Linked DNA regions of Lytechinus pictus. The protein of the gene in region 1 binds, or shares a complex with, the protein of each later gene. Links are inferred from orthologs where the notes say so. Each region holds a gene or a part of one and is shown in the gene's direction. Other genes may lie near its edges.

Evidence for each region.
Region 2: parafibromin-like (region 1) and RNA polymerase II-associated factor 1 homolog share a complex: the UniProt entries of both Caenorhabditis elegans proteins name them as parts of the PAF1 complex. The link is inferred for Lytechinus pictus from reciprocal best matches to the Caenorhabditis elegans genes cdc-73 and pafo-1.
Region 3: parafibromin-like (region 1) and RNA polymerase-associated protein RTF1 homolog share a complex: the UniProt entries of both Caenorhabditis elegans proteins name them as parts of the PAF1 complex. The link is inferred for Lytechinus pictus from reciprocal best matches to the Caenorhabditis elegans genes cdc-73 and rtfo-1.

The regions. Positions count from the first base shown.
Region 1 is NC_087259.1:23,515,876-23,527,158, forward strand, and holds the start of parafibromin-like, read left to right. Parts: upstream 1-6,655; 5' UTR 6,656-6,723; coding exon 6,724-6,854; intron 6,855-11,283. UniProt on the Caenorhabditis elegans protein: Component of the PAF1 complex which is a multifunctional complex involved in transcription initiation via genetic interactions with TATA-binding proteins, elongation and transcription-coupled histone modification.
Region 2 is NC_087251.1:47,768,325-47,779,750, reverse strand, and holds the start of RNA polymerase II-associated factor 1 homolog, read left to right. Parts: upstream 1-6,414; 5' UTR 6,415-6,536; coding exon 6,537-6,583; intron 6,584-11,426. UniProt on the Caenorhabditis elegans protein: Component of the PAF1 complex which is a multifunctional complex involved in transcription initiation via genetic interactions with TATA-binding proteins, elongation and transcription-coupled histone modification.
Region 3 is NC_087251.1:44,619,888-44,631,105, reverse strand, and holds the start of RNA polymerase-associated protein RTF1 homolog, read left to right. Parts: upstream 1-6,033; 5' UTR 6,034-7,280; coding exon 7,281-7,361; intron 7,362-9,279; coding exon 9,280-9,387; intron 9,388-10,439; coding exon 10,440-10,563; intron 10,564-11,065; coding exon 11,066-11,218. Other genes in the region: zinc finger FYVE domain-containing protein 1-like, read right to left, coding at 1,555-2,907. UniProt on the Caenorhabditis elegans protein: Component of the PAF1 complex which is a multifunctional complex involved in transcription initiation via genetic interactions with TATA-binding proteins, elongation and transcription-coupled histone modification.

The DNA.
Region 1 (11,283 bases):
AAATTTACTTAATGTTTATAATTACAATCATAATTTGATGAAAGTTTATTACTTTATGAATTTCTTATAATCGATTATAATTGGGAAAAAAAATTTGGGGGTCTCTTTTTAAATGCAAAGTGAGTGTTATCCGCATACTTCGATCTCTCAAGAATTTACTTTTAGTAGTTTATTTTGTAAATATACGCATGCATTCATACAGAGCAAAATTTCCCTCTTTTTTGCCCCATTTGGAGGCACTTATTCTTAATCTTAATCTCTCCTTTTCCCACATTTTTTTAGAATTCATGAAGGCGTCACATGTCTTGTATTCAGTTATCCTAGCAATAGGCCTACTGTAGATTACATTTAGTTTGAACATTGCTACGGCGTATAGTACATTTGGAGAAGGGGTCTCGGGAGTCATGGACTCCAAAGCTTTCACAGCCAAGAAAAAAATGGAAAAAAGGGGGAAAAGAAAAGTAGTAAAGGGGTGAAATATATCACTTTTGGAATATATTACTGGTATGTTAAAATCTATCGCAAAATCAGATATTTGTATTGAAGAGATCACAAATTTTGCTCGCTCGTTTCGCTCACTCTTAGCTTTTTAAAAACTTCATACGCCAATTTCGCCCCTCAAAATTTTGACTCTTTTGAATTTCAATGATTTGAAATAAATCCAAAATTTGTAAAAATACAATTAGGATTTATTTTTAAACGCAACGATTAACTTTTAAATCTCATAAGATTAAAATGAAAAAAAAAAACTGAGTGGTACCCAGGGAGAAATTGTACTCTAACGAAGAAATCTGATTTCTTTCTAAGAAAGGAGCTTCGCAAATTGCACATTGTCAATTTAGAAACAAAAAAGGTTGCCCTTTCATTGTTTAGGTATGTTCTATATAATTAATATAAATTTAGACTCAAATAAAGATATCAATTCAAATCATTTAAATTCTTTATGTGTTTTGGTTTATGATAAAATAACTCGTAATGTGCAGTTTTAGTGAATGTTAATTATGATTTAACAAATATTGTCACAAGTGTACAATTTTTTTCATTGGTTATTGCCTGTTCTTTATAATCGATTATAATGGGAATTTTTTTAAATGGCTCTATTTATTTGCGAACAGTGATAATAATACAATCCAAAATCCGGTACGGTAGAAGTCTGCAGAATTTTATCTGTCACAAGTTCTGTTTATTTTGCATATACACATGCAGTCATAGTGATAATTTCTCGCATTTTTTTTTTCAAATTCACGAAGGCGTGACATGTCTTGACAAAGTTTGTATTGTATTAATCCAGCTGCTGCAGTATAGGCCTACATATTACACTATGTTTGAACATTGCTACGGCGTATACAGATGGGACGGGGTTTGGAGGCCATGTCCACGAACCCCAAACATTTTACGGTCAAGAATAAACGGAGAAGAAAGGAGAGAAAAGGAAAAGGGGTGGAATGTATTATTTCCTGGGTATTATACTGGTATTTTAAAACATATCACAAAATAAGATTTTTGTATTAGAGAGGTAAAAAAATTGCTCACTCGCTTCGCTCACTAGCAGCGAGCTGTTTAGAAGCCTCCATACGCCAAGTCTCGCCCCTCATTTATTTTTAGGAAAGGAGCTTAGCAAGTTGGCTCCTTGAATTTCAACGATTTAAAATAAATCCAAAACGGCTGTGAAACAGTGACTATCAGACTATTCAAATTTGGAAACGATTATGGGCGATTCCACAACTTCAAAATATCATAAATTTCAACATGCTTTCAATAAGTCATAAGTAGTGTAATATTTTACTATGATACCTAAATTTTATGAAAAATGTGAGTTTTAGCCAAAAGTGAAGTCAGATTAAAAAAAATTGAGGGGGGGGGCAATGGAATTTTCAATTTTCAATATTTTTACTGATTAAATAGTCAAGAACAAACACTGCCTGAAACCATTATTGGCAGAGCACAAGAAGATTGAAAATATTGCAGGTCAAAGGAATAATGTATCATTGATGGTTCCAACTAATATCTACAACATTTTCGTGATCCTTTAAAGGTGCAGCCCCGATTTTCCGAACCTACTTTGGCAATGTCCCGTACGACTCATGAAAATGCAAAAGTTGTTTCTACTCTTTTGTTTTTGATGATACAATCTTACGATATCAGTTTCTCTATCTTTGACCCATGGGTGATTGATTTATCCTATATAAGGATCTAATTGCTGCCCTTCATTCTATTTGTCCTCATACGACACATAATTCTATTGCATTTCATTGCAGGATTTGGATTCAGAAACTATAAACAGTAGACCTATTTGAATTTAAGTAATTAGTATGACATTAGGTTAAGTGAATAGGTTTTTTTTTTTTTATCTCAAGAGAACATGAAATTCTGTAAATCTGCAGGCGTAATAATCATGTAATATATCGTAGTTGTCTTTAAAATGTCCCCCGTCCCGGGTATATGTCCTACCTTGCTTTGAAAAAAAACCCGGTACTTCCAAGTCATACCGACCCAGAGCATCTTCATTACGACGATGGTTGCATAGGTGGCGAAAAGACGGAATATTTCATTTTCGAATGAATACAAAGGCGATGTCATTATTTCAGAAATCAGAATTAATTAAACGATCAAGGAGTAAAAGACGGCACAGTTGGTATACATGTAAAAATTAAAATTTGATTTTTGTCTCACCTGCATAGCAGAGTGAGACTATAGGCGCCGCTTTTCCGACGGCGACGGCGGCGGCGGCGACGGCGGCGGCGGCGTCAACACCAAATCTTAACCTGAGGTTAAGTTTTTGAAATGACAGCATAACTTAGAAAGTATATGGACCTAGTTCATGAAACTTGGCCATAAGGTTAATCAAGTATTACTGAACATCCTGCCTGAGTTTCATGTCACATGACCAAGGTCAAAGGTCATTTAGGGTCAATGAACTTAGACCATGTTGGGGGAATCAACACCAAATCTTAACCTAAGGTTAAGTTTTTGAAATGACAGCATAACTTAGAAAGTATATGGACCTAGTTCATGAAACTTATACATAAGGTTAATCAAGTATCACTGAACATCCTGCATGAGTTTCACATCACATGACCAAGGTCAAAGGTCATTTAGGGTCAATGAACTTTGGCCGAATTGGGGGTATCTGTTGAATTACCATCATAACTTTGAAAGTTTATGGATCTGATTCATGAAACTTGGACATAATAGTAATCAAGTATTACTAAACATCCTGTGCAAGTTTCAGGTCACATGATCAAGGTCAAAGGTCATTTAGGGTCAATGAACTTTGGCCAAATTGGGGTATTTGTTGAATTACAGCCATAAATTTGAAAGTGTGTTGGTCTAGTTCATAAAACTTGGACATAATAGTAATCAAGTATCACTGAACATCCTGTGCGAGTTTCAGGTCACATGATCAAGGTCAAAGGTCATGTAAGGTCAAAGAACTTTGGCCACGTTGGGGGTATTTGTTGAATTGCCATCATATCTCTATAAGTGTATTGGTCTAGTTCATAAAACGTGGAAATAAGAGTAACCAAGTATCACTGAACATCTTGTGCGAGTTATAGTAGTTTTCAAAATCAGCACTGCTGCTATATTGAATCGCGTGATGCAGGTGAGACGGCCAGAGGCATTCCACTTGTTGTATTATTAGAGAGGTAAAAAATTGGTCGCTGGCTTCGCTCACTCGCTGCTGTTTAGAAAGCCTCCATACGCCTAGTCTTGCCCCTCAAACTTTTGGCTCCTTTGAATTTCAATGATATAAAATAAGTCCAGAACGGCTGATTTCAGATTTTGTTGGATTGCATGATTTCAGATTTTGTTGGATTGCACCTGCACATGTTCAGTGGGGTACCGGTCTCCAGATACTCTCTGGCATGTCGGAAGTGGGTGGGTTAATTTGTGCCCGTTTCTATTTCTATTACTGCTCTTGTATTGTACATATGTTTATTATCATCATGTTTGATTCTTGTTACCTTTGTATTTTTTTCTTATGCCTATTATTGCCATTGTTGTAAGTTGTTATATTTCTTCTATGCCCCCAGGAGGGGCCGTCAAAGAAATAAAATCATTGTCATTGTCATTGTCATTGTCATTGTCATTGTCATTGGCTGTGAAGCAATGACCATTTTGGCAATTGCGACATAAATTCTGTATTAATGTAATACATCTGATTGTAATATGGACCACCTGTCGGTGATTTCTGATTCGCGTTATAGACGAAGTTCTTTGTCTGTATTTAACCGTCCAAATACCCAAAGGGGGTAGATTTTTTGTAATATATAATAAATAGTAGTTGTTTATTCTAGTTATTTACATAAATTTGTACTCGAGTACAAAATGAGTTCGATTTGTTAATATAAATTTGTACTCAAATAAAGAACCAATTCCACTAATTTACATTTTAAGTCTGTTTTTTTTTGTTAACCGTAATGAAAAAGAACTCGGTTTTTTTCGTGAATGTTGATAATATGATATTGTCATAAGTGTACAATTTATTTCCTTGGTAATTCCCTCCTCTTTATAATCGATTATGATGGGGAAATTATTTCCACGTCTCTAGTTTATATACTGATACAATCCAAATTCGGGTTACGTGATAAAATTGTTATCCGCAGACTTTATATATTTTCTAAATTCAAAGTAATAAAGTTGAGACTGATTGCAATTGCTATCAGGAAGGCATCATCATCATCTTCATCACCATTACGATGAGGATGATGATGATGAGCAATATTTTTTTTTACCTCTTTAATGAAGAGAAGACCTAATTGTCTGATTTCTTTGCATAACATCAGTATTCAGAAATTAATACATTTCACCCCTTTCCTTCTTTTCTTTTCCTTGTCTCCATATTTTCTTGGCCGTGAAAATTTGGGGTCAATGGCCCCAAGACCCCCCCCCCCCATCTGTATACGCCGTATCAATTGCAAAATAAAAGTTAGTAGTAGGTTTACTGCTAGATCTCTCACTTTCCCACACTTTTATCATATTACCGGATTTTGCATATAGAAACATTATTTTTAATAATTTCTTCCTCATAATCGATTGTGAAGAGGTTGCGATTGAAACAGGGACGTCACGTCCCTGATTTAAACAATGTGAAAATGTACACTTATTTCATTTCATTTCGTTTATTTCCATTTTCAACAATTAAAGTTTGTTTTGTATATTTTTACATATAAATAACAAAAACATATTTCAAGTATCCCTGTACAAAAATTATATTCAAGATTATTGGAAATGGAGGTGGCTGCTAAAAGGCGGAGCTTGTAGAGTGCAGCCTCCTAATAAATATTCTTGTAGTTACATAGCATATAAAATATTCTTACATTAATATTCGTTATAAATAATAATGAACATTCGATAAAACTACAATCAACCTTTTTTAACTATAAAAAAAAATGGATGTAAATATTTCGAATTTATTTTATATTTGACTACAAATTTAATAAATATTTTATTAGACAATAATAAGAAGCTACTTTCAATAATATGTATACGGACGGGCAATAGACCGACGGACGCCGAAAGTCTCTTTTGGAGGACCAATGTCAGATGTTCTAAACTGAGCAAATGAAAAATTACAAGTTCATCATATTCGTTTGAAATTTCATTGTTGTTATTATCAAATGGCAATTGCAAGCTAAGTCATTATATTCACATTCTATGCGTTTTGCTGAGTGCCGCTTTAGTCATAGATTTTTAATCATTTTTTTTTCAATTGATCTTTTGCAACTTGATGAGCTCCGTCCGTTAAAAGACAAGATTTCCCCCATTGTATTACATTTTTCTTCTTATCTCCTCCTGACCTCGGCATATATGGTGTGAATTATATTTTCGAGTGACAAATTTTCCGATGACATAGTTTTATAAGTGTATCCCGACACATCCACCTGCTTTCTTGGTTGTTACACCTTGTTCGATCAATGTACATATTGCATTTACATTCATTGTTTTATTACTGTTGATTTGTATATATCATATCTGAAATTGGATTGTAAATCGGAAGACAATAAATGTTTGATGGAATTTTTAGGCACGTTGCGTGATGCCTCGTTCTAAAGCTACAGTTTGTTTCCAAAATAATCGATTATGACATTGGATTCCAAAGGTAGGCCTACCCCTTGAATTGAATGAAATTGAATTATTATGTTGTGCTCAGAAGGGGGCAAGTCTGATAATTTGTATCCCGGAATTTGGGTACAAAATTCATGGAGAGATGTCCCCATATCATCACTCATTATCATTATCATCACCACCACCACTGCATACACACTGGCATCATTAATTCTCTCCAGGCCCAGCATCACCATCATCATCACCACCACCACCATCATGCCACCATCTCCAATTCTTCATTATCATCGTCATTAGGTAGGGCCTGTTGGCACCCGCCTGCATCTAGTCTGCAGGTACAGACCCTGATTGAAACTTTGATCAGCAAATGTGTCTCCACGCAAAGACTAGCACCACATACAAAACTTGCTGTTTCAATCCTGAGAGGCCAGTACACAAGGCATGTGTAGGCTGCATATTCAGACCCTTAACTCGAGTGAATGGTTTGCACAGCATGGAGCTGCTTTAAATAATATCGGTCGAATTCAAAGTTTGCGAGTTTGTGCATGGCTGGGCGACACACTTGGAGTTTTGGGCGATTTGTTTTACGTGCCTGAATTTATTGTGACGAGGTACGTTTGAGGAAAGAAAGGTTGGGGAGGCTGAGACGGCGACATGGCTGACGTTTTAAGTTTACTTCGTGTTTATCACTCTCAGAATAAGGTTATAACGGAAAGAAACGATGATGTTATTTTCGGAGAATTTTCATGGCCCAAAGACACAAAAACTAACTACGTTACCTATGGGTAAGTTAACGGCTTTTCCTCCTTTCTGCTCTGCAAATTGGAACAACACGGTTGGTAACACAGCGCGCTGCAGTGTGAAACAACTGCCCTTAATTGCCTTGCCCTTGCATATGATTATGAATGCATATGCCACATGATTTTTATTTTTTAAATTAAAAGTAATGCATGTTTGTACGGCATTATCGTGGTTTATGTCACCAGTCCATTCACTGCCGTTTATTTCGTCAGCGGTGGTGACATCTTTCCACTCCTAATCCTATTGACTTTGTACACAACGAGCGCACATGCACATAGCCAGGCGGCTTCTAGAGTAGGTACGCTACTCTAGCGCGAGAGGGCGCGATTTTCGCGTCATCATTTTCGCGTACGAAAATGGCGACAAGCTGCTTCGGGAGCGGGTGCGAGCAATAACTGCAAGCCCTATTTGAGTCTCCTGTCTAGGATGGTAAACGTATATCAATGGGAATGAAAACGATGACATCATCTTCCCAATGCATTCAGCTATACTGCACGGTTAGCTCTTGCGACGGAGGATCGAGATCGGAACAAAAATTGCACTAAAACAGTCTGTAAGTACAGTTTATGCATCAAATCATCATTATATGTTATTTTCATGGAATTATCAGACATATTACGCTAAAAATACATATGCTACTCGAAAATTGAAGTCGTAAGCTTTCATTTCTTACCTCATTCATGGCAGCATTTCTTGCCACCATTTGCCACGGCCGAACGTTAAACGCCCTTGCTATTTGTTTCGTGGGATTTTTTTTTAAGTTTGGCGACGCGTTTCGCGGGCTAATTCATGGCGGCTGCTAGGGTTTTTGGTTGCCCGCGGTGTGTAGTCCTGCGCATTGGAATTTGTGTAGCAGACCGTCTATCGTGATATGTCTGGTATTTCTTTGATTAAAAAAAACTTTTTCTTTTTTATAAATTAGGAATTGAAAACCAGACACAAATGTAGAAATCAGAAATATATCCCACACTGACACACATTCATTTTGATTGAATAAAATATTGAAAAAAAATGGCAAATGACGCAACAACTTTCTGAATCTTCTCGAAGTACCTAACGTTAATTTTAGCCTTTACTTTAGGTAATTTACTTTAAGTTTAGTCTTGATTTATTATTTGATGATTATGTTCTGTTGAAAATTCATGTAACATGATTTCTTTTGGCCTAATCAAACTTTACATTTTTATTATTTAAAAAATGAATGGCCTAGATCTAATTTAATTCATTATCATTTTAATTTTCTTTTGTTTTCATATTTTATTTTCATTCAGATTAATTTCTTATCTCCATTTGAGCATGGCAATACTTACTGATCTGAAGTCGAGGGGCCCAACAATGAACAGACTTGGGCTGAGCCGTCGAATATCTGTGGTTCCAAGAAAGCGTGATGGAAATGCCGCCTTAAAAAAACCAACCCCACCTCTGCCTCTGGGCTTTGTTCTTGGCGATCCTGCATTCCATTCAGACTGCAACTTTAAGCAGGAATTGTTCTACCAACTACTTAATTATTCACAAATGTGAATTGCAGCTTTTAAATTGACAAGAAAGAAACAATTGATTTATCTCACCCCCCCCCCCCCAACTGTCTTCTAACATTTTCTATCATCCCAAACTAACACTTTTTTTTTCTTGTATGTCTGTTTAAATATTTTTATTTAGACTTTATGTAATTTTTTCATGATTTATTTAAGAAGTATGAGCAAAAAAAACAAAACAATTTGGCACATGCAGTAGAGAAGAGAAGGAACATAGTGTTAAAAAAGGATACACATACAGATCTGAATATTAAAATAAATTTAAAAAAGAAATGACAAATCCACACTGACACATGAAAGTATTCATTTTATTTTTTTCCTTATTGGCATTGGTTACATTAATTAACTCCACATAAAAATATAAATTGAATATGTTAACAGTATTAATGAAGTTGCTCAATAAAATTTAAAATTAGGTATTCTCATTGGAGGTAATGGTTGATACAGATGGGTGGGTGGACCTGCAGCCACTAGCGTACCTATGGGGGGGGGGGCAGACTGCCCCCCCCCCCCGACGAGTCACAACCAATGTAAGGGACATATCCCTGCCCCCCCCTGATGAGCCACCGGTGGCCCCCTCCTTTGAAGTTTAAGACCTTTTTTTTGCTTGTAATTTTTTTTCTGGTACGAAATCCTTTATTTGTGGTTGAAGACTTTTTTGCTTGTCAAATTTTTGGGCGGACGATTTTGCCCCCCCCCCCCTGTGGAAAATCCTAGGTACGCTACTGCCTGCAGCTCTATTGTTTTATTAGATTTTCATTTTTTTATTGCTGGGGGGGGGGGGGTATTATGTAGAGATGAAGCCAAATGATCTTATGAGGCAAGATTCAATGTACAGCTCAATATGATGCATGTAAAGTGATTTATTAAACTTTTGAAATATCAATTAAGAACTGGAATGATGAATGATATGAATATAAGAAATATATTAAATGCATGTACAGTGATTTATTAAACTTTTGAAATATCAATTAAGAACTGGAATGATGAATGTAATGAATATAAGAAATCTATTATATGCTAGTTCATCACAACTTTAGCTGGATCTTGCTGCAGAAAGTGCATCGTGTAGTTCTACAAATATCTCGGGTGAGAGGCAGTTTGGCAGAGCGGATGCAATGCTTCATAGGGCCTCTAACATTTCTGTGGTAAGGTCGAATCCAAACTGATGTTTTCATCGAATGATACAGCCTCCTGGCTACAAAAATTTCCTGTAGATGAAAGAGAAAACAAAATAATGAATGCAATGAAATTGGGGAAAAATGTGAGGCTAGAGGAGCAAAAACAAAAGCAAATGGTTGTAAAGTTAGTACAGGAGAGGAACAAAATGAGAAGAAAGGAACTCACAGAAAAGGAAACAAAACAGAGAGACAAACTTGAGACTAGCTCCTTTAAAAAAAGTTCTGTATGGTGTACTATGGATCTGTAAAAATATTTTAAAATTATGTAAAGTTTCAAGGATTGAGCATGCATAGGAAATCACGTAAAGGCAAGGATATCAAGTCACGAATAAAAACAAAAAATGAGGGGGGGGGATGGGAATTGCATCAACCCCCCCCCCCCCACCCTACCTCTCCAAAAAAAAAAAACGACTTTAATAACTTGTCAAAACTGTATCTAGTATCAGCTTATGTTATTATCCTTTTTAATGTTATTGTTAGGGATCGAGAGAAAGGATGAACGCGGGGGGGAGGGGGGTGTGCATTTTTCGGTTTCATACTTTCAAGCATCAGTGTACTGAAGGGGAAAATGTAACATAGGACTACACAAAATTGCGGTGGACAGACAAGAAACAAGAAATGATGATTAAAATGAAAGAAAAAATTCTCGATCTCAAAACAACTTGAAAAAAGAAAGATGCAAAACCAAATGTTATCAACTCACTTACATATTATATTTGAAATCCATCCCAATGGTCTTCCATGTCGTAATTGTGCACTGTAATTCAGATAATCTAGTTAAAACATGTGAAATTAACTTCAAGTCTCAAATTAATTGTCTTGCAAAACAACAAAATACTCCGATATATGCGTATCATGAACGTACATGCATATTTATGAGCGCCGCGAAAATGACCAATCTCATTCACAAATGATGCGCACTTACGCTTCGTCACCATGCCGCGAGAAGCGTTTATGCGCGATGTAAAATCTCCGCCCCGAATTGGCAATCCCCGAATGCGCATGCGCGGTGGTGATTGATACTCGATGGTCGACAATTCGTTCGGAATGGATAATACTTAGAAATCATTTTTTTAAAAAATCATAACTTGAGTTATTCTTCATCATATGTCATAATCAATGCATCATCGTAATGGGTGACACATTTTCTTTATGTTGAGGTAAGTTTCAACAGATTTGGATGAAGATTTGAATTATCAGTGGCGTACCTATTCTAGAGAGTAAAAATCAATGATTTACTAACGTAAGGTCACTCTCATACGAAGCCAGGGCTTCCGTCATATACTTTTGCGTGTACCACCAAAAAACCTGAAACTTTCGCCCCCGAGATTTCTACTTTCTTTCTAAAAGATCTAGCCCTAAATCATGTACGCCTACATGGGATAAAACTTCATTTCCGACATTTCTACGCTCTCGTTATTTTTTAACAAGAATTCATCAAAAAAATGAGAGAAATATTGTGTAAAGACGGAAGAGACTTGCCCGATGTTTACGCTGCCATCTTGTTTTCTATTGTTCTTCCCCAACGTTACCCGACGCACACGTCTGTAACGTTGGCGAAGAACAATACTAAATAGGAAACAAGATGGCGGCGTAAACATCGGGCAAGTCTCTTCCGTCTTTACACAATATTTCTCTCATTTTTTTGATGAATTCTTGTTCAAAAATAACAACGAGAGCATAGAAATGTTGGAAAT
Region 2 (11,426 bases), on another chromosome or scaffold:
GCCACGATTTCGTAATTGAAATGCGTACATGTATTTGATTTTGTTTTCCATTTTTGTATATATTCTTTTTCGGGGGGGGGGGGGGGGTCATGTTCTTGAGACCGAGACAAGTTATGCAAGGCCCTGGCATGGAGGATCATTATATTGTTACTGGGAATGCTGGACATTGTCAGACCACCTCAGTATTCACCAAATATAGATAATCCTCAATGACAAGGTCTTTGAAGTGATGTGTGTATGTACATGTACATTGCATGCAGAATTTAATGTTTAGGTCATTATCACGTCAGAATACGTTAAGATATCATAGTTGACTCCAAAAGACGTCATATTCATTTCAATATGCGACATCAATATGACGTCTATTACTAGTCAGCAATATGTTGCAAAGTCGTCATTCAGACGTCGTAGTTGACTTATAAAGACGTCCTAATTACATCAATATGACGTCTGAAACTGGTCAGGAATACGTCGCAAAGTTGTCATTAAGACGTCGTAGATGACTTTTAAAGACGTCATAATTACATAAATATGACGTCTAAAACCGGTCAGGAACACGTCGCAAAGTTGTCATTAAGACGTCGTTGTTGACTCTCGAAGACGTCATAATCACGTCAATACACGACGTCAATCTGACCCTTGATACTGGTCAGGAAAACGTTGTAAAAACGTTGCTAAGACGTCATTAAGACGTCGTAGTCACTCTTGGAGACGTCATAATGACGTCAATATACGACGTCATAATGACGTTATTCGCGGGTGCAAGATCCCGTCAATAAGACGTCATGTTACGACGTCAAAATGACGTGACATTCGTCGTTAAACTGACGTAATTATGACGTCATTTTTACCAGTTTCTGCTATCAGGGTTAACAGCGTTGTTTAAATTATTTCAACAACAACTGTACATATGCCCTACGCACAGAGGCTACTTTTACAACTTAAACCATGTAAGCAAATTTTCTAATTGAAACATGATAAGAATTACACTTCATGACAATTATCCTCCTTTTTGGGAGAGACATTCTTTTCTTTATCATGTTTATGTCTTTCTTCCTTTTTGACAGATTTTTATACGGGTAAAAACAATTATTGCGAACCCAAAACGGGATGGTATTGTTATAGGTCTACATGTAATATAGACCTAAATAAATGGAACATTTTTATTTACTTTTTACAATATCATTAAAAAGGATTTAGCACGAAGCGCGAGCAGAAAATTTGTGATATTCTAATCTGAAAACTGATACTTTGAGGAAACTTACATGACATTCAATTGCAAAAGAACTTGAGATGACAAAGAGCTAAAATCATATATTGTGTCCGGCTGATATGTCAAACTGTGTTTCAATTACCCGAATTCCAAAATTGTATGCTTTTCGTATTTTAAATATGTATAATGTATTTATTTTAATCAATTCTATGTACTTGTTTTTCTTTGTTTTTGTTTTTTGCTTCAAGGGGCCCTTTTGATATAAGCTTTTGCTAAAAGGCCACAGCGGCGTAACAGGGGTCGGTGGCCGGGGAACAGGCGTAATGGTGTAATGAGGCCCCGAATGAGGCGACTATTTTGAGACGGCCAGATAATGAGATATTCCGTATCGGGCAGAATTTATCTTTTAAAAAAAAGTTGCGAGCGAGCGAGCAAAAATTTTGACCTTTTTAATACAAAAATCAAATTTAGTGATAGATTTTGACATGATATCCAGAGAATAATATATTTCACTCTTCTCTCTTTGGATTCCTTTTTTGTGGTCTGTACGCCACTGTGTGAAAATCACCTTTTTATGAAAATCTAACTTTGAGCTATTTTTTTGACATTATATTCAGTAAATAAAATCATATCCTACACTTTTCCTTTGCTTTTCTTTCCTCCATTATTTTTGGTTCTTGTTTGAAGAACTTCTTGGGGCCATGGCCCAACCCTTCCATACGCATGCAGTGCTGTGCGGTTGGGGTCGATCCGGGGCGGAGCCCCCGGAACTTCTTGATATCAAAGCCATTTAAACCTCGCAGATTGCCGCTAGTTTAATCAAATCGCGGGCATATACAGAATATAGCTTTTACACAACACATTTACTCAACCCAGTTGCGTAATGAACCAAATATTTTGAGGGGGTAAAACATAGCAATGTGGGAAAATTTGTAAAAAGTCGCCAGCGTGCAAAGCGAGCTGGAAAAAAAATGCCTACTGAAATTAAATTCTAATTATGTGATAGATTTTTCCATTATATTCAACAAATAACACATTTCATTGTTCTATTCATTTAATTATACGTTATATAATTTCTTTTATTTCCACTAGGGTGTGGAACCAAGACCCCCCGCCTGTATGCCAGTGATTGAACGTGATTGAACGGGGGGGGGGGCGTTATAGAGCCATTTGAAGGTTATAAATGAAGAGCCCCTACTGCGTGGGGTCTGGGACAGAGCCCCGGTAGCTTATTTGCATAAAATTTAGCAAGCTTATAGCACAATGTTGTATGCAGTCCATCTTTCTTCCCGCTCTTTCAGGGGCGGATCAAGCCTTCGCCAATAGGGGGGGCCCAGATTTTTTTTCCGGCCATATTTTCCCTGATCGGCCGCTCGAAGATGATTTTTGGTTTCTTTGAAGGGGGTAGTCCTAATAGACACTTCTTAGTTTTATTCATATAAATCAACATACTGTATATAATATCCGAGCGCGAAGCGCGAGCTATTTTTTTGGGGAAATTTAATGTATTTTTCCTAAAATTTGAACATTCTGGGCAATGTTTGTTATCCTGGAAAAGATGTATATGCAATCAAATAAATACTACGAACGCGAAGCGCGAGCAGAAATGAACTGATGGAAAAGGTACCTGTTAAAGACTGCTGCAATTAGCCATGAAGATGTTAAATACTTTAAAAATCAAATAATGCGAGCGCGAAGCGCGAGCTGAAATTTTTTGGACATTTTTACCTACAGAATGGAAATTCTTTGCACTTTTGTAACTTAAACAGAATAGGTATATAACTAAACAATTGATGCGAGCGCGAAGCGCGAGCGGAAAATTCCGAGACCTACTGAACGAGACACTCGATCTATTCATGTTTTGTAAATCATGAAAAGGATGAGTAATTGGGGATCTTCCTTACATTAATAATGCAAGCGCAAAGTGCGAGCAGAAAGTTTTTATATGTATACATTTTAAAGTGATCGAAAAGGTACCTGTTATGGACTGCTTGCACTTAGCCATGAAGACGTTACATATTTCAACAATCAAATAGTGCGAGCGCGAAGCGCGAGCTGAAACATTTTGACATTTCTACATAATATATAATAATATATTTATAAATGATATGCCTAATGTATTGAAACACTCCAAAATAGTTATGTACGCAGACGATACATCTATTTATGCCGAAGGTGATAGTTTAGCTGAAATACAAAATAAATTACAATTGGATTTAGAAAATATAGCCTGCTGGTTAGAAGATAACCGTATGATGATGAATTATGAAAAAAAAAATGTATGATTATTGGTACACGTGTTCGACTTGCAAACTCTATTTATTCCAATGAATCTCAGTTAAAAATAATTTGTAATGGTCACCAGATCATACAAGTCCAATCCTTTGAATGTTTAGGTATACTTATTGATAATGAATTATCATGGAAAGAACATGTATCTAAAGTAGCCAATAACGTTAGCAGGAAGTTGGGTATCCTACGAAGGTTAAAAGGTTGTGTCAATGAAAATACTTTACCCACTCTATATAATGCTATGATTTTGCCAATTCTAGATTATTGTTGTATTGTCTGTGGGGATAAATTCAAAGAAGATACCGAAAGATTAAATAAATTACAGAAAAGAGCTGCAAGGATTATTTTAAATGCCCATTTCTTGACCCCTTCGGAAAATTTATTTGCCCTCTTAGATTGGAAAAGATTTGAAGATAGAGTTCGTATTTTCAGATTTATTTTAATGTTCAAATGTATGAAAAGTATTGCTCCCACATGTCTGTCCAAACTATTTACTTTTAGAAAAGAAATTCACTCACACTGTACAAGAAGTTCCTCACAAAATAAGTTACACTTCCCCAAATGTCATATTGAATCATTCAAACACTCATTTCATTATCAAGCCGTCTCATTATGGAATAGTCTTCAACCTGAATCTCAAAACATAAATTCCCTCTCAATTTTTAAGAAATATTTAAAAGATAACCTTTAAATCCAGTTGCAGCTTTTTTCCAATAGTAGATATCTCCGATGTCAATTTCGACTATTATGATCTATGTACAGACCCTTCTTTCTAATGATGTGCGTAGTTAATAGTTATTTATAGTTTCGTTTATATTTGACTTCAACTATTATGTTCTATCATAATGTATGTACATTTTCTCATGTTAATTTTACTGTGTATAACAAGATATATTGTGATTGTTTTTTTAATATGCAGAACCCCAAGGGAGAGCAATTTTTATGTTGGTTGGGTATCCTGTTGAAATATTGTTAATAAATAAATAAATAAAGAATGGAAAATTTTAATTTTTGTAATCGTGAACAGGATAGCTATATAACTAAACAATTCATGCGAGAGCGAAGCGCGAGCGGAAAAATCGAGATTTAGACCTAAAAACAGGACATTCTCCTTCTATTCATGTTTTGTAAATCATGAAAAGAATGAGTAATAAGGGATTTTCCTACCTTGATAATGCGAGCACAAAGCGCGAGCAGAAAATTTTTGATATCGTGATCTGAAACTGGATAATGATTTAAATATATTAAACTATTTGATATTCCGACTGAAAAAAAGTCAATTTTTGCTCTATTTTTCAAGCACTTTGTAAGAAAATTGTGAGGTGGATATAGATCGCACTTAATATAGATCTAATATGTTCCATTATTATTACTTTGAGTTTTGACATATAGGATCGGGACATCCTTAGGACATGTCATCATATGAAAATGATGACTATCTTCATATTCCTCTTGCTAAGCGCGAGATAAAAGGGACAATTTAATTTCTAAATTAATATCTTACTCATTAATGCCTAATGAGGGCACGAAATTTGATGATATTATGGCCTGAAAACTCGACATTTCAAGCACTTTTGTAATCATAAATAGGATGCATCAGTTAATGTATTTTTAACCATTAATGCGAGCGCAAATCGCGAGCCATTTTTTTTGATAAACTGTCATTAAATGGGGATTTTAAGTAGTTTGTTGTATAATCAAATATTGAGACATATACATAACTCTCCAATCAAAATGCGAGCGCAGCGCTAGCTGATACGTTTTGACAATCAGACCTGAAAAGGGATATTTTGAAAACTGGCCGGAATACACGAAAATAATAGGTACCTGATAAATCAAAATTTGCGAGTGTGCAGCGCGAGCAGATAATGTTAATATTCAGACCATAAAACTGAAATTTTTACAATGCACATTTTAAAAATCAATTTGTAAATCACACAAAATAATGAAAGTTCGATTTCCGAGGTGAAATATGTTGTGTATATTGAATTCCAAACTTGATATTTGAACTCCATATTGAACAAGATATGAAAATCACCTAACAGGCAATGCGAGCGCGAAGCGCGAGCGAAAATTTTATATAGTGACATGAAAGATTCTTTTTATTTTTCAAGTCTTTCCCTCATCTTATTTTATTAACTCGTCTTCCTCCTCTTCTTTTTTCTCCTCTCTTTTCCCTCCCTTTTTTCTTTCTGTCCTTTTCTTCTTTTTTGCTCCGCCAATAGGGGGGGGGGGGGGGGGCGGGCCCCTCGGCCCCCCCCCCCCTGGATCCGCCTATGCGCTCTTTAATTTCAATCATCGGCAGCCCGGTCATGTTATTATTTTTTTTCTTGTCCCTTTTCTTTGTTTTCCATTAGCTTTTGACTAATAACATTACCTTCATTTCCCGCTATTGTTTGCCATTTTGTCATCTTTTAATTCATTGCCCACCGTGCTATTGCATTACATAGGCCTATTTCGGAATGATTTGTTCTTTCTCAAATGTTCTTCTTTGATTTTCTTTCGTACATTTTCCTGCTTTTTCTGATTTTCTTCGTTTTCTTTTCACTTTTCCCTTTCCCTTTCCTCCTTTCCTTTTCCCCTTTCCTTCCCCTTTTCCTTTCTTTCTTTCTCCCTCCTTTTTTTCTTTTTCCCGTTTTTCTTTTCTTTTCCCGGTGAAATCCGCCAGGGGGGGCAGCTTGCCCCCGCGGCCCCCCCGCCTGTTACGCCACTGTTTACGGAATGATTTTGTATTATACCTGTATTTTCTTAATTAGAATTTTTTCTTCCCTGAATTTCATATTATTTTGATCTGATCTGTTCCTTGATTATTATCTTTTAACAGTCTCGTCAGGATGTTTAATTTTGTTTGCAAAACACAAGAAAATGTGTAATTTGTCAAGGAGGGAGTAATTAATGCTTTTTTTTTTGCTTACTCGAGGACATCGCACAATCAGTGTATCGTTCAATTTTCATGTGCTATGTTTTTTTGTTTGCACCAACCCAAAATCTACTGTCGGTTTTCTTCCCTTTTATTGCTCATTAAATCGAAATGCCGCCGACAATACAGAGTGGAGAAAGAAAGGACAGAGATCGGAAGTATGTATATTAGTTATTTTTACTAATTGATTATGCAAAGTTACAAACCATGGCCAAGTATTCTGGCCTGCGCCAAGGCCCTCAAGTTTTGCTCAAATCGGCCAACGCAACGGCCACGCTATCGCGCCCGCGCCACGGCCTACCGTACAGCTAGTACAGGTACGTAGGTACCTACCGTATACCGTACGGCGGGCCGGATCCCAGGACTCGTCCGTGTAATCCATTGCTCCACACTAACCCTTTTTTTCTACTGGTCCAACCTATTCATGTCGGACCAGGGCAGTAGATACCCAGTTTTTCCATTATTTACTGGTCCCAAAAAATTAAAACATTAATTAAGAAAAGGTGCAAGTTTATTTTGCTGCCCTTTCCTGTTACTCCCCCCCCCAAAAAAAAAAATGAAGGAATGAAAGACAGAACAGAAACAAACAAGCAAAGAAAGAGAGAATAATTAAAAGAAAGGAAGAAAAAAAGAAAAGGTAAAGAAAGCGAAAGGATAGATGTGAAGAAAGGAAAGAACTAAAGACAGTAAAGGAAGGAAAGAAAGAGCAAAAATAAAGAAAGAACGAAAGAAAAAAGGAAGAAAGGAAAGAAATGAAGCAAGCAATAAAGAAAGAAAGAATAAAAGACAGAAAGTAATGAAGGAAAGAAGCAATACAAAAAGAAAGGGTAAAATGAGAGGAAGGAAGGAAAAATAAACGAAGGATTGAAAGAAGGAAGAAAGAAATTAAGGAAGAAATAAAGTAAAGGTAAAATGAGAGATAGGAAAAAAGAATGAAGGAAAAAAGGAAGCAAACAAGCAATATAAAAAAGGTAAAAAATAGATGAAAGGAAGAAAAAAAGACCAAAAGACAAAGAAAGGAAGGAATGAAGGAAAGAAGAAAGGAAGCAAGCAGTAAAAAAGAAAGAAAAGGTAAAAGGAAAGATGGAAAAAAGAAAGAAAGAACAAAAGACAAAGGATGGAATGAATGAAAGAGAGAGAAAGGGCTTAAAGAAGGAAGATATAAAGAACAAGAAAGGGTAAAGAAAGGATGGATGGAAGAAAGAGAGTAAAAAAGAATGAAGGAAAGAAAGGGTAAAAAGAAGGAAGGAAAGAAAGAAAGAAGATATAAATATAGGATGGATGGACTCAAGAATTAAAGAAAGAAAGAAATCAAAAAGAAAGAAAGAGAAAAATATTTTTTTAAAGGACAGAAAGAATGAAAGAACAAAAGACAAAGAAAAAAGGAAAATTAAAAAAGAAAGACATTAATAAAAAAATGAAAGAATAGAGGGAAGAAACGAAGAGAGATTGAAAAGAAAGGAGGAAAGAAAGATAGTAAGAAAACTGAGGAAGAAAGCTAAAACTATCATAAATAAATTATCACTTTCTTTTTTGCTCAATTAAAATATAGCTATGCCTATGACGGAAGAAACCGAGTGTATCAACACACACACAAATGCATATGTGGGGCTATCATGTATTCAGACGATATCACTCGAAACCCGATCTGTTTGAACTAAAACAGAAGTGAAAATTTCTCCTTTTACTGCTTACAAATGACAGAGTTACCCCAATTTTTAGGAAATATGGACATTATAAGAGCTTTTCATTAGTGTGAATGTGAATTTTGACAGTTCTGTGAGAGATTTCTGCCAGACGTTAGCCAAGCTTCATTCGTGCAGCCCAGTAGAAAATTTACCATGTGGGCTGTGTGGCTGGCTGTACATGTGCACTAAACTGTATAATACTAGATACTAGTCCCCTTGTAAAAATTGCATGCAATTCATTCTGTGTGTATATTGTGTGTGAATGACAGAAATTAACGGGAGGAAAATGGTTTGCAATTTGAGTCATGGAATATTTTTTATGTTAATGTTGGACCAGTGAATATGACCATTTCTGGAAAAGTTACTGGCTAAACAATGGTTTTTATTCCTGGTCATGTCGGAGCCATAAATCTTGCTTTTTTTTGAAAAATTACTGGCCCGACAATGAGTTTTTTACTGGTCATGTCGGACCAGTAAATCTGGCTATTTCTGAAAATCTACAGGCCCGACAGCGATTTTTACCAGTCTGGGACCGTCGGACAAGTGCTAGTGTCGAGCCCTGGTAATACGGACATTTAATAGACAGGAATAACCGTCGTTTCTGAGGATTTATTTAATAATTTCTGATAATGTTGTAAATCGGATAAAACATCAGATCAAAAATCGGATTGGCAGTTAAGCTTCGAAAATCGAATCGGCGATGTCTAAAAACAAAGGAAAACATCAAAATTTTATTTGCGGTCGCGCGCATATTCCTGACAAAGTCACAAAGACGAATGCATTGGAATGGAAGTCGCCAACATGCGCGATCGTTTGGAACATGTTTTAAAGGGGTTTTGAGGTGTTACTGCTATAAATAAACCAAGTGATTTTTATTCGAAAGTTAAACGAAAGACGCATCTTCCCAGCAAAGTTGCAAAGGAAAATAAAATGAAAATAATTATCATAGATCACAGGTTAATGAACGATCGGCGGGACATCTTTTATAAGTATATTTTTTAGGTGCTAGCGATTTAAAATTATTTGAAATGATCTCTTGATCTCGTACGACGCATCATCTTAAAGTCGCAAGTGCAATTAAAATGTAGAAGAATTCGCAAGCACGCGCGATGATTCGGAACATGTTGTTAAAATGTTTTGGGGAGCTAGCGTTTTCAAATCAATTTATTACTATCTTGAGAAATTAACTTTTGATATCCAAGAAGAAATATAAAAGAAGCATCTCCCGACGAAGTAATTGAGGATGAATAGAAGATGTCTATCATCATAAAGGAGGTAAGAGAGTAGCGCAGTGATGTCCATCAGTAATACGACCTGTGAAAGTTCACGGTGGCGTCCGCTATCACCACGAGGTTGAAGAGAAGATGTATATCATTATAAACGATGTAAGAGAGTAACGCAATGAGCTCCGTCAGTAGTACGATCTTTAAAAGTTCACGGCGGCGTCCGCTATCACCACGAGGTTGAAGAGAAGATGTCTATCATCATGAACGATGTAAGAGAGAAGCGCAGTGATCTCCGTCAGTAATGCGACCTTTAAAAGTTCACGGCGGCGTCCGCTATCACCACGCGGTTGAAGAGAAGATGTCTATCATCATGAACGTGTAAGAGAGTAGCGCAATGAGCTCCGTCAGTAATACGACCTTTAAAATTTCACGGCGGCGTCTGCTATCACCACGAGGTTGAAGAGAAGATATATATCCTCGTAAACATCGTCAGAGATAATACCGCGTCTTTCTTTCTGATTAATGCGACCTCTAAATAGCCAGCACCTCAAGAAAAAATCTTGAAATATGTTCTGAACGATCACGCACTGTAACTAGATCTACGCCGATTTTTTATATCCAATTTTTGTCTCACCTGCATGGCAGAGTGAGACTATAGGCGACGGCGGCGGCGACGTCAACACCAAATCTTAAGCTATGGTTAAGTTTTTGAAATGTCATCATAACTTTGAAAATATATGGACCTAGTTCATGAAACTTGGACAAAGGTTAATCAAGTATCACTGAACATCCTGCTTGAGTTTCACGTCACATGACCAAGGTCAAAGGTCATTTAGGGTCAATGAACTTTGGCCAAATTGGGGGTATCTGTTGAATTACCATCATAACTTTGAAAGTTTATGGATCTGATTCATGAAACTTGGACATAAGAGTAATCAAGTATCGCTGAACATCCTGTGCAAGTTTCAGGTCACATGATTAAGGTCAAAGGTCATTTAAGGTCAATGAACTTTGGCCAAGTTGGGGGTATTTGTTGAATTACCATCATAACTTTGAAAGTTTATTGGTCTAGTTCATAAAACTTGGACATAAGAGTAATCAAGTATCACTGAACATCCTGTGCGCATTTCAGGTCACATGACCAAGGTCAAAGGTCAATGAACTTTGGCCATAATGGGGGTATCTGTTGAATTACCATCATAACTTTGAAAGTTTATGGATCTGATTCATGAAACTTGGACATAAGAGTAATCAAGTATCACTGAACATCCTGTACAAGTTTCGCGTCACATGATCAAGGTCAAAGGTCATGTAAGGTCATTGAACTTTGGCCATTTTAGAGGTAATTATTAGATTGCTGTCATAACTTTCAAATTTTATAGATATAGTGTATAAAATGTGGATATAGGGGTAATCAAGTTTCACTGACAAGTTTTAGGTCACATGATCAAGGTTAAGTGTCAATGAACGTAGTATTGTTTCATTATATGAATGGTGTTTTTTGTGAATAATTATTTGATAGTAGTTTTCAAAGTCAGCACTGCTGCTATATTGAATCGCGTGATGCAGATGAGACCGCCAGAGGCATTCCACTTGTTTCCTTCAAGGGGCATGTTCGAAGATCGGAGGGTGATCGCCGACTGTGGTAAAATCGGGAGCTGATTTTAAAATCGGTTACAAGCTTAATTTTTGACATTTTACTATAATCCCATTCACTGACAGTAGTGTGTTAGTGCGAGCCTGCATGTGTAATCAGGTCCACCAATTCGGGCGACCGGGTTTTATCTAACTTTTTAGATTTTTTTTTTAAATTCTAAATCCATTATCTTGAACGAAGGCTCACTATATTCGTTAGACTCTAATCTTTCTTTTGTTACTTTACATATATATAAATATATGTTACCGATGATTTATTCCTTATTTTTCTGCCGGAGAGGAAATAATGGCAGCCGTGTGTTGCTGCCCTCTACGTTTAATGAGTTGTTCTTTTATCAAGGCTTTCCGATTAAATTTTCGATATCCTGGCCAATCAATGCGAGAGACAAATTTCGAACGCACGCACATCTACACTTAAGCGCAAAGCAGTG
Region 3 (11,218 bases), on another chromosome or scaffold:
TTCAAATCTTCTCAAAGATTCAATGGATGGAAATAAGTGCAAGAGATTACTTTCTTTTTTTAAGATTTGAAATTTGGATTAATATCTCTTAGCATAATATAATTCACACTATTTCACATGTATACATGAACATAGTACAATTATGATAAAATACATTTTCCTCTTCTCAATATGAATATCATTTTCCTCTTAACAAATATCATTTTCACATTTACTTTGAAATTGCATGATAATTGTATGAAAATCACAAAGCAAAACATTGTCTTAAACAGCTCAACACAGTAATCCTAAATGCAGACTGTGGAAATCCCACTGCTGCCACCAAAACATTAAAGGGGAATGTAACCTTTGGAACAAGTAGGCTAATGTCGAAAAAGGAAAATCAAAGAATAAGAACAAAGAAAGTTTGAGAAAAATCAGACAAATAACGAGAAAGTTATGAGCATTTGAATATTGCAATCACTAATGTTATGGAGATCCTCCCATTGGCAATGCGACAAGGATGTGTAATGTCACATGTGAACAACTTTCCCTCAGATGGACTATAAAATACCCCAAAAATGTCTCTTTTTGCTTGTTCTTATGGTGATACAAACTCTTTATCCATAATGTATTCTTTATAAATCTGTATTACATGCCCTCCTATAGAAAGAACACTTCTACTGATAGATGTGATATAAGAGGCAGTTTAAGTGAAATATATACTAAAGTAATGGGGAGAGTTGTTCACAAGTGACATCACACATCTTTGTCGCATTGCCAATGTGAGGATCACCATAGCATTAGTGATCGCAATATTCAAATGCTCTTATTTTCTCAAACTTTGGTTGATCTGTTTCTTTGATTTTTCTGTTTTCACACAAGCTATCTTGATCCAAAGGTTTCATTCTCCTTTAATGAATGCATGAAAATTGCTTCTAAAGCATTGTTCAGGCAAGGCACTGTATTGCCATGACATAGCAACAACTTTTTAGAGTTCAAGGGTGTCAGACAAGATGTTTGTCTTGATATAAACAAGCAGAGACGAAGCAATCAAGTCATAATTACGAGTGTTCTCTAAAAGTAAAAAAAAAAAAATCACTTTCAGGTTCTGAGACAAACATGCCACAACTAATAGAGTCGAGACCTTTGCTTTGACTTTGTTGGTACCTCCATAACTAATATACCCAATAATTTTCAATAAAAATGAAAGAACACTTCCCCAGGAAAGTAACTAAAATTACCAGATATACATGTAGTTACCCCCTTTGCAAGTACCTCAAAACGATAAAACTACAAGAAAATCCATGCCTCTTTTTTTTTGAGGGGGGGTGGGGAGCAAAATTGCAAAAGTAAAATGCAAGGAGAGAATAATAATGAAAATAAAAATGCACTCAAATTTTAAGGTGTGATTTCATGGCTTGCTCTTATTTAGAAAAAATATAGATCTACTTATTACAACAAAATCTGAATTGGTGAGAGTTCCTATTGTGACAGCAACCCAAATTGAAAAAAATATATTATATTATCAAGTTAAGTTAATTTGCTTTATAAAAAAGACAGAATATTAATTACCTGAAGTGTCTCTGAATCATCAACAAGTAGAAAGCCCTTAGCATGGTTAGGATCAACAAGATCAATCTCATCTTCAGCAGCTTCCATGTCAGCAAGCTCATTCACTGGTGCTGGTGGTGGTGGTGATGGAGTCTTCTTTTGGCTCTCCACTTGTTTCTCTCTGGGTGATGACGGTACAGCCTTCACACTCCCGACAGGTTTCACAATCGCTTCCATCCTCTTCCGGCCTCCAGAACTCTCCAAACTGTGCGACAATGGTTGGCCCTGAGTAGGGGTCCACTCCCCGGAGCCAGAATTGGACCTGAAGAACTCGGAATGCCTTGGGCTTGGAGACAAAGTCTGGTCCAGATATGGTTGGTTGCTTTGAATGTCCTCTGTTTTGGGGTGAGTGCCTTGGGGATTCCCTGTTGATGTCACAACTCTCTCCCCATGATCACCATGCACCGCTCCTGCACCATGTTTGTTTACATTCCTACCACTTCCGGGTTTGCCGTGAGCCCGTGTTGTTCTGTGAGTCACTGTCATGCCACCACCTGCACTTCTGTTTACATTGCTCTCTGGAGCCTTGGGTATGGCTATTGCATTCGATTGTGCAATAGAGGGTTTCTCCACGCTCTCAAAGTGTCCCGAGAGAAATTCCAATGATTTAAGTCCACTCTGGCCACTGCTTACACTTTCCAAAGACAAAAAATCATCTCTTTCTATATCGTTGTCATCTGGAGTAGATAGCGAAGGTTTCTTATCCAGCATTGTCAAACTGTGGAAATCCGAGTCCAACGTTAACTCATCAATAAGGTTTAATCCTGTCGAAGAAGATGAAATATCCCCGGTTAAGATTGTAGTTTGCCTCTCCTTGATTTCACATGGCGTTGGCTCACTTAAAGAATCGAGAAATGGAGAAAGAGGCAGACAGTTTTCTGGCGAAGATTTTGATGGATTCATCTCGCTCGTCGGGCTTTGTTGCGTCGTATCACTGTAAACCACCTCTTTGTTCTGTTTTTGTTTTGTACGTAGCGGAGTGCGTCGATGTCCAGTTAACTTCCCTCGATGATATTCCTTATTACAGTCTTGGCAAATTACAGTTCTACACTCCAAGCAGGAAAATTCTGCAGGGTTATATGGGCACAGGGCACATTCAACAGCGCAAGGAAGTTGCTCAATTTTTCGTCTAATGTGACTTGCAAATTTTGGTCTCTCTGGTTTGTGCAGAAGTTGCTCACAATGTTCGCACTGTCTTGTTCCGCAATTCAAGCATTCGTAGCTAGCATTCGATCCGTCGCAATCAAATTTCTCCTCACAAACCCGTTTAGATTTGTATTTTACAGGTTGATGGGTTTTAGATCGACTTGCCATCTCGAACTCTCAGGCTGCAAACGAGAATGGTATACATGTTTCGTGTGAAAATGAATCATAACACAACACATGCAATGAATATGTTAATCACACAATGCAAAGCCAAAGGTTACAATGGAGCTACAATGCACACTAAATGTCGTCGCGATCGCCTGCGCCAGGCCAGCTGATTTGCGTGCATGTCGATCGATCCCGCGCCAGCGAGCAATCGTGTGTGCGAATTCAAGGCAAGAGCTAGCTAGCTATATAGCCTATATAGGAACTTGATAATGGCTATAGTGATTGCAAATTAAACTGGGCCTAGACCGGGGGCCTAGATGCCTATCACTACACAGTAAAATTTTTCTTAAAAATTGTCTGCAACACTGGTTAATATATTAATTTTAAAGCAGTTGTTTTACAGTGTAAACAAGTGTTTGCAATCTTTTAAACAGATCATTTTTATGTTTATTTTTAACTGTTAGACAGCTGATTAAAAAACATATAGTAGGCCTAATCAGCGTACGTTGTAAACTTCTATAAAAATTGAAATAGCGTTTTTACTGCATGTGTTTAGACCTATTTGTGAGGGTTATGAGGTTATTATGCATATTTCATCATGAAGGTATTTAAAAAATGTAGGGGCCTACAGTGTACATTTATTACGAACTCAATCTTTAGTTTTTGTGTGTAAATTTTTAGTTAAAGGCCAAGTCCACTCCAAAAAAAATGTTGATTTGAATCAATAAAAAAAATCAGACAAGCATAATGCTGAAAATTTCATCAAAATCGGATATAAAATAAGAAAGTTATGACATTTCAAAGTTTCGCTTATTTTTCACAAAATAGTTTATATATGCACAATAAGTTTAGTCACATGTAAATGAGAGTTGATGATGTCCCCCCCCCCCCCCCAGGGGCGGAAAACTCTCCCAAAAGGTAGGGGGGACAAGGAGCTGGAAAATTTGACAAGCAAAAAAAAAAAAAGATTACCATCCCAAAAGTAAGGTCATATAGTCCTAAGATACATGTTTTATTTCGATTTTGAATGATGTATTTCTTACCATCATAAAAGACCACAAAATAATAGTAGGGGGACATTTGATATTGTGTCCCCACTACTATTTTGAGTAGGGGGGACACGTCCCCCCTGTGATTTCCGCCCATGTCCCCCCTCTCACTATTTTTTTGGTTTTTATTGTTTGAATTATACAACATTTCAATTTTTACAGATTTGACAAGGACCAACTTGACTTAACCATAAAATGTTTATCAATGGTAATTCAACATGTTCAGGGAGCAATAAAACATCAGTTCCCTCATTTGCATACCGACCGGGAAGTGCATATAATAGTTTTGCGAAATTAAGCGAAACTTTGAATTGTCATAACTTTCTTATTTCAAATCCGACTTTGATGAAATTTTCAGTGTTATGCTTGTTGGATTTTTCTCTTTTTATTCAAATCAATCTTTTGTTGGAATGGACTTGTCCTTTAATGACACTAGAAAGTTTAGAAAGTTTTATAGAGGCTTGCCTTTTATACAAGCTTTAATTTGCCTTTTCCGGTAAGCCCACCGTTTTACTCTAAAATACAAAATCATCTGAGTTTGCTTAATTTTTTTTAATTTAGTTTATCAAAGCATAATTTTTTTTTATTTTTTACTTGTCATGTTTATTGATTTTGTACAACATTCCGATGAAACAGATATGAAACTAAATAAAAACTCCAAAAAAGTTGTTTAAACATTTAGACAAGTACAAATTCTTAAACAACAAAGTTTAAATTCAAATATTTAATTATCAATAATTTAAGCAAGGTTGTTTGAAATTTTAAACACTTGTTTAAACTGTTTAAACAACTACTGTGCGATTCACATATTTGTTTAAATTATGATTTCGGAAAGTCAGCCAATGCAGACAGAGGGAGTTTTGCACCCATCCACTGTAAGTGGGGCACAGTTCCAATGAACATAATTAAGTTGTGCAGGGGTACGTGCAGCCAGATCGAAAGCTCAATTTTGCACCACCAGATCCGGGGGGGGGGGGGGCACTTACATTGACGAATTCAATTCAATTCTTTATTCCATTTCCATTCAAAACATAATACAAAGTAATATAAAGTAATACAAATGAAATACAATTTTACAGACGAGTATTCTTACTTCGTAAAAAAAAAAAAAACAGTATAATATTGAGCATAAATGGAAATGAGGGGGGTCCACTAAAAAGCAAAGCTTGTAAAGTGTGGATCCCCACGGAAATGAAGAAAATATAATCGACTTATTCATTTATGCGTTTATATACAGGAAAGAAAAAAGAGAAGGAACAAATAGGTCGAAATCATATTGATCTAAACATAATTACAGAACAAGTGCAAAGCTATTCACACAAAGAGGTCTTCGCTGCGAAGTGAAGTGTCTCGTGGGGTAGTTATGATAAAATTAATTTTTTGTGAACATATGGCATCAAAAATATGGGGAAGTGCATGAATAGATACCATGCGCGACTATAAAACACGTAAAAGGGGTGTCTTTTTCAAGATAGGGCACGTTACAAAGTTACGTAACGTAATAAGGGTGGCAAAAACACAAAAATAATTTTAAAAAAAACTGTTATATAAAGGATTTACTTTTTTCCCCAACCGCTACACTAGGCTAACGTTGTGTGTTTAGAGTACGATTGCGCGGTGTGTGGCGGTGTGTGGGAGGTGGGGTCATAAACCCAATGATGTAGGTAAAGGTAAAACCGACGTCATAATAATCAAAATATCGTTGTACTTGTTTGGGGGTTCAATTCAGGAAATACTTGCCAAGATATCGTTTTGTTTCCAATACTTGTTAAGGGTAGGGATTTACACGCCAAATTAAGGCCTGGTGCATTTTCAAAATAAGGCTTTTATTTCGAGACCCGGACATGGTGGCGCATGGTATCCATGCACTCGTCAATGGAAGCTAGTGCCCCCCCCCCCCCGGCACCAGATTGATATCCTGTTAGGCTAGGCCAGGTATAAACTTACAGGCCTTTTGAAAGCAGTTTATTTTAATTCATGCTATATGGACGGAGTGCCGCAGCAGGGATCGAGCCTGTATGAGCTGTGTTGCGTTGAGCCTTTTGTCGCTTTGCTGGCCGCAAGAGCCTATATCAATGAGTCGTGTTTCTTATGTACCAAAATTAATGTAAAGGTCACTATATTTTGCAAAGGGAATCTATTTTTCTTCGGTCGCTAAATGGCTCGTTTGTTAATTCAATGATAATCAAATCAGTGTCTTGTGCAGTCAAGTTCTTCCGGGCTTTATAATAGAAATAATTTATTTCATTTTTTTCCGCCCCCACCCCCTCCCCCAGCCGTTGTTGTAATCAAGTAGGCCCTATAGCCTTCTTTTGGTTTCTCATCACCACGGCATCGATTTCCTTATAGGCTTTATCTTCCATGTTAATAGACAACAAAAAAATCGGATATCAATGAGTGCATGATGGGGAAATAAAACTATGGCCTATATATATATATACTTCCAATTATCTTGGCCATTCGTGACTATAGTAAGGAATTAGTCATTTCACGTCAAGCCTTTATTTTTGGAGAAAAACAACACTTCTTTAATTCATAACGTTGACCAAGCGCGATTGCGTGTAATAAAAGACCTTCAGCCTTATGCTATATAGGAAAAAGTATTAATTTGCATTCATGGTGCAAACAGCGGGAGGGGGGTGATTTCTCGCCACCGCGCGCCCCCGCCCCTATAAGAAGATCGAGGTAATCAGGAGATTCTGTGGTTCCCGCAGGAGAGAAAAAATGAGGAGCAATAACTGATGGCGCATCGGACATTTTTTTAAAATCAAGAGCGAGAGAAGCGAGCAAACCATGAGAAAATATTTTTTTATGGTGACGTATAATGGCCTGGGCGTAATCTAAAAAAGTTGAAAAAAATGTTTCGCATTTTCTCTCTTTTTTTTCTTGGTCGCGGAACCCCACCCCACACCATCTAAAGATCTACGCCAGTGCTTTGGAATCACCCCCCCCCCCCCATTCTCAGTCAGCCGGAGTAATTATGCCAAATGTTCAGAATCACGATTTGCTTATATGAAAGTACCATACAATATTTGTCATTTATTTTCGTGTGCTTGTTTCGTGCGTGTGCACATTGGTTAGTAATGGTACCGTTTTAAAACTTATCAGCTAAAATCGCAACGATACGCGGCCATGTACGTCTAGCTAGCCTACATGATGTACGTACGTATTGCACGCGTGTGCGTGCGTTTAGCAAAAAAGTAAAACAAGAAAAAAAGGGAACTCATCTCAGTCGTGGTCTCTCTCTACAAAATGCCCTAAAAAGCAAGAACTTCATCGATTTGAGTCCCGATTCTACCCATTAAAGTGAAAGACCCAAGCGCCATGTCGAAACGTAAGAAACCAAGCAGAGCAGTGATAAATTCAGACAGTTCTGCATCGGAAAATGAATCGGATCTGGAAGAGGTAATTTCTCCATTCACTTTACACACAGACAGACATGACACTGACACAGATAGATAGTTGCACATTTATTTGCACTGCATGCAGTGCAGTATGCAGTGAGTGTGTGTTTCTGAGAATATTAAGTTTAGCTGAGACTGAGTAAGTGAGTGTTTGAATTTTGATGTCACTAAATTTCAGGAATATAGGAATGGAACTGCAAGAAAATTTGCTGACGGGTTGCTTCTGGCATTTTCTTAGCTTGTTTTGCACAGAAAACAATCGCAAAAACTTAAGTTAAATTCGTTGAGCAAAATCAGTTTGTCATCAGGCAGACATTGAAATAATTAATGGCATGGCATGGGCCATGACCCATCCATGACCATGCACATGTTGGTCGTAAATAATATGCAGTCTTTGGATTCTCTGCCAAGAGTGAGACTGAGAGTGAGAGTGAATGTTTGCACATTAATAATATTGCTTGATTTTTTTCTTCTTTGACGTAGGTCTATGATTAAGTAGACACGACGGCAATCAATTAAGGTGGCTGGTGGGGGCATCACCATCAGCAATTTTTTCTTGCAATTTCTAAAAAAAAAAACCTTTTTGTGTTAAAACTGTAATACAAATGAACTTTATGAAGCTACCTTGTTCATTCCCATGGTGATGGGTATTATTTGTAATATTACTGTCAGATAATATAGTTGTGATATATGTCTACACATATATGTGATATTATGCAGTGATGCAATCATCAGATTGCAAGATTTTTAATTGTAACCCAGTTAATAGCTAAAAATAATGCATGATTGGTGTATTTACCTAGCCTTGAGGACTCCATGATGATATTTAAAAATATTTTTACATAGATATACTTTTCATCACGAAGCCTTGAAACCCTCCCCCATACTTGCCTATTAAAGCGGCACATGTAAACACAGATGGATTTTTCCCTATATAGATAAATAAAATCCAACAAATTTACGTGATTTCTAGCTTTAAAGGTCAAGTCCACCTCAGAAAAATGTTGATTTGAATTGATAGAGAAAAATCAGACAAGCATAATGCTGAAAATTTCATCAAAATCGGATGTAAAATAAGAAAGTCATGACATTTTAAAGTTTCGGTTATTTTTCACTAAGTAGTTGCATGCACAATTTAGTCACATGCAAATGAGAGAATCGATGATGTCACTCACTATTTCTTTTGTTTTTTATTGTTTGAATTATACAATATTTCAAATTTACAGATTTGACAATAAGGACCAACTTGACTGAACCATAAAATGTTAGACAATGGTAATTCCACATTTCCAGGGAGAAATAAAACTTTGTTCCACAGGACAATGCGGAGAAAATTAGAATATTTTGTATTTCATGTCATGAAATACAAAAGAAATAGTGAGTGAGTGACGTCATCAGTTCCCTCATTTGCATACCAACCGGTATGTGCATATAACTGTTTTGTGAAATTAAGCGAAACTTAAAAATATCATAACTTTCTTATTTTACATCCGATTTTGATGAAATTGTCAGCGTTATGCTAGTTGGATTTTTCTCTTTTTATTCTATTCATTGTTTTGTTGGGGTGGACTTGTCCTTTAATTATGGATTTCCTAGGGAAATCCATCCGTGTTTACATGTCCCGCTTAGGCAAGTATGGGGAGGGTTTCAAGGCTTCATGATGTAAAAGTGTATTTAAAAATACCATCACTGAGTCCTCAAGGCTAGTATTTTTCCAGTTTCATGACATTTGCTCTGGTGACAATTGCTCCAATTGAAAATCTACGCATTAAGCCAAACATAAAATGTAACCTCCAAAACTAAATAAACCCTATTTCTGAACTAAAAACTTCAAAATTCTGATTTGAACTTTACAGAGCTTTTCTTCCTTTCATCCCACTATTGATAAGCTTGTTTTCTTATTTTATTGCCGTTGCCAGGAACTGCTTACTTTAGCCAAAAGGAAAAAGGTGGAGCCAGAGTCGGCCAAGGAATCAACTTCGCAAAAGAGCAATTCTGAGTCTGAGACATCAGAAAGTGATGATGATGTGAGTATAGTTTCTCTTTGAATTTTAGCACTTATGTGCATAGCACTTTTTTGCAAATATTATTTCTTGATTACATTCCTTTTCTTCTTTCAATTAAGTATAGGCCTATATGTGCACTATTGATAGAAATATAGAATATGAATTGTCTCAAACACCTTTCAATATGTAGCCTTGCATTCTGGGGGCCGTTTCATAAAGCTGTTCGTAAGTTAAGAGCGACTTTAAGAACGACTGGTGATCCTTTCTTACGCGCTAAACCATCGCCGATGAATATACCATTTACCACAAGAAAGGATCACCAGTCGTCCTTAAAGTCGCTCTTAACTTATGAACAGCTTTATGAAACACCCACCAGGTATAGTTTCTGTAATATTTTTAAATTATGAAATAAAATGATGGATGGACTTTGTGCACTTCATCTGTGCTTGGCAGCCAGTGATGCTTTGACTCATCTTTTTTTCAAATTCATAAAATGAAGCACATTACATAAAAGAACAAAATGCCTGGTTGCTTGTGTATCTAGGACTAAGTAAGTGAATAATATCTAGATGTAATTAAAACATACATGAAATGATTTTCTCACATAGAAATAATGGTGAGTTATTTCACTATTGTGTTTTAATTTTAATGGATTAACATTCTTCACTAGAACATTTTTTTCATGGATAAATATATATGTAAATCTATGTCATCATCATGTTACAAGGTGAGGTAATCCTGTTGACCTCGATCTCTTCATCTGAAATTACAGTCATCCATCTCCATACGATGTGTTATTCTACAAGAGCAAAAACTTGCACACGTGGAGGGCAGAGACGGTTTTGATCATTGGAGATTGAAACGCTCAGACTACCAAAACTTATCGAGTCTTTAATAATTTGAATACATGGATGGAGCCTGAGTCAATAACTTCTTGGGGGAGGCTATTCCAGTCATTCACTACCCGGTTACTAAAAACGCATTTGCGTATCTCGAGTCTAGATCGTTCTTTGATTTTTGTTCTTTGGATAGGAATTGATCAGCTTTGATATTTTTCCTATTTTTGTATTCAGTGGACATTGGGTGGCAACAAAAAGAAATCCAGGATCAAGAAGAACCCAAAGAAGAAGGTGGCTCGGTCAGCATCTGATGGATCTGGGGTCATCAGTGACTCTGACAAGTCTTCACTTGAAGAAGGTACAGTGCATTAGGAATATTCTCACTGCCCTCCCTCCCGAGTTATGTCAAACCCTTCTTAATTACATTGTAGTCTTTCAATACCTTTAAATTGATTCCAAGGTGATGTTTCATTAAAATTTGAGTAAGATGCTTTTATGTACATTCTTAATGAATGGCGATCCAACTCATCTTGAGCGACAATAGCTCCAGTTCTGATTTTTTTTAATAGAAAGATATGGTGTTGTGTAAGTATTGCATTACATGTGTTGTTAGGGTCGAAGTTGAAATTTAGGTTAGCCTTATGAGCAGATATTTGTGTTCTGTTTGAGCCTTTATATCTTGGTGGGCATGTAAGGGGGCTTTAAATACATGTAGTATACTTTTTATGAAGCCCATAATTTGTTGACACATGAATAATAACATGGAACCTACATCATGAAGAGCAAGCATTCTTGGAGTGATTGATGCACTTAAAAAAAATGTTTTTACAAAACTCCCATCTGATATGTTCACTTCTCAGGAGAAGTGTCTGATTCCGAGAGTGACGATTCCGATTCTGGTTCTGATGATGAGAAGTTCTTTGATGGGTACGATGAGAACTTCATCGGGGATGAGGAGGATAGGGCGATGCTGGAGAAGATGACAGAGAAGGAAAGAGAACAAGTCATCTACA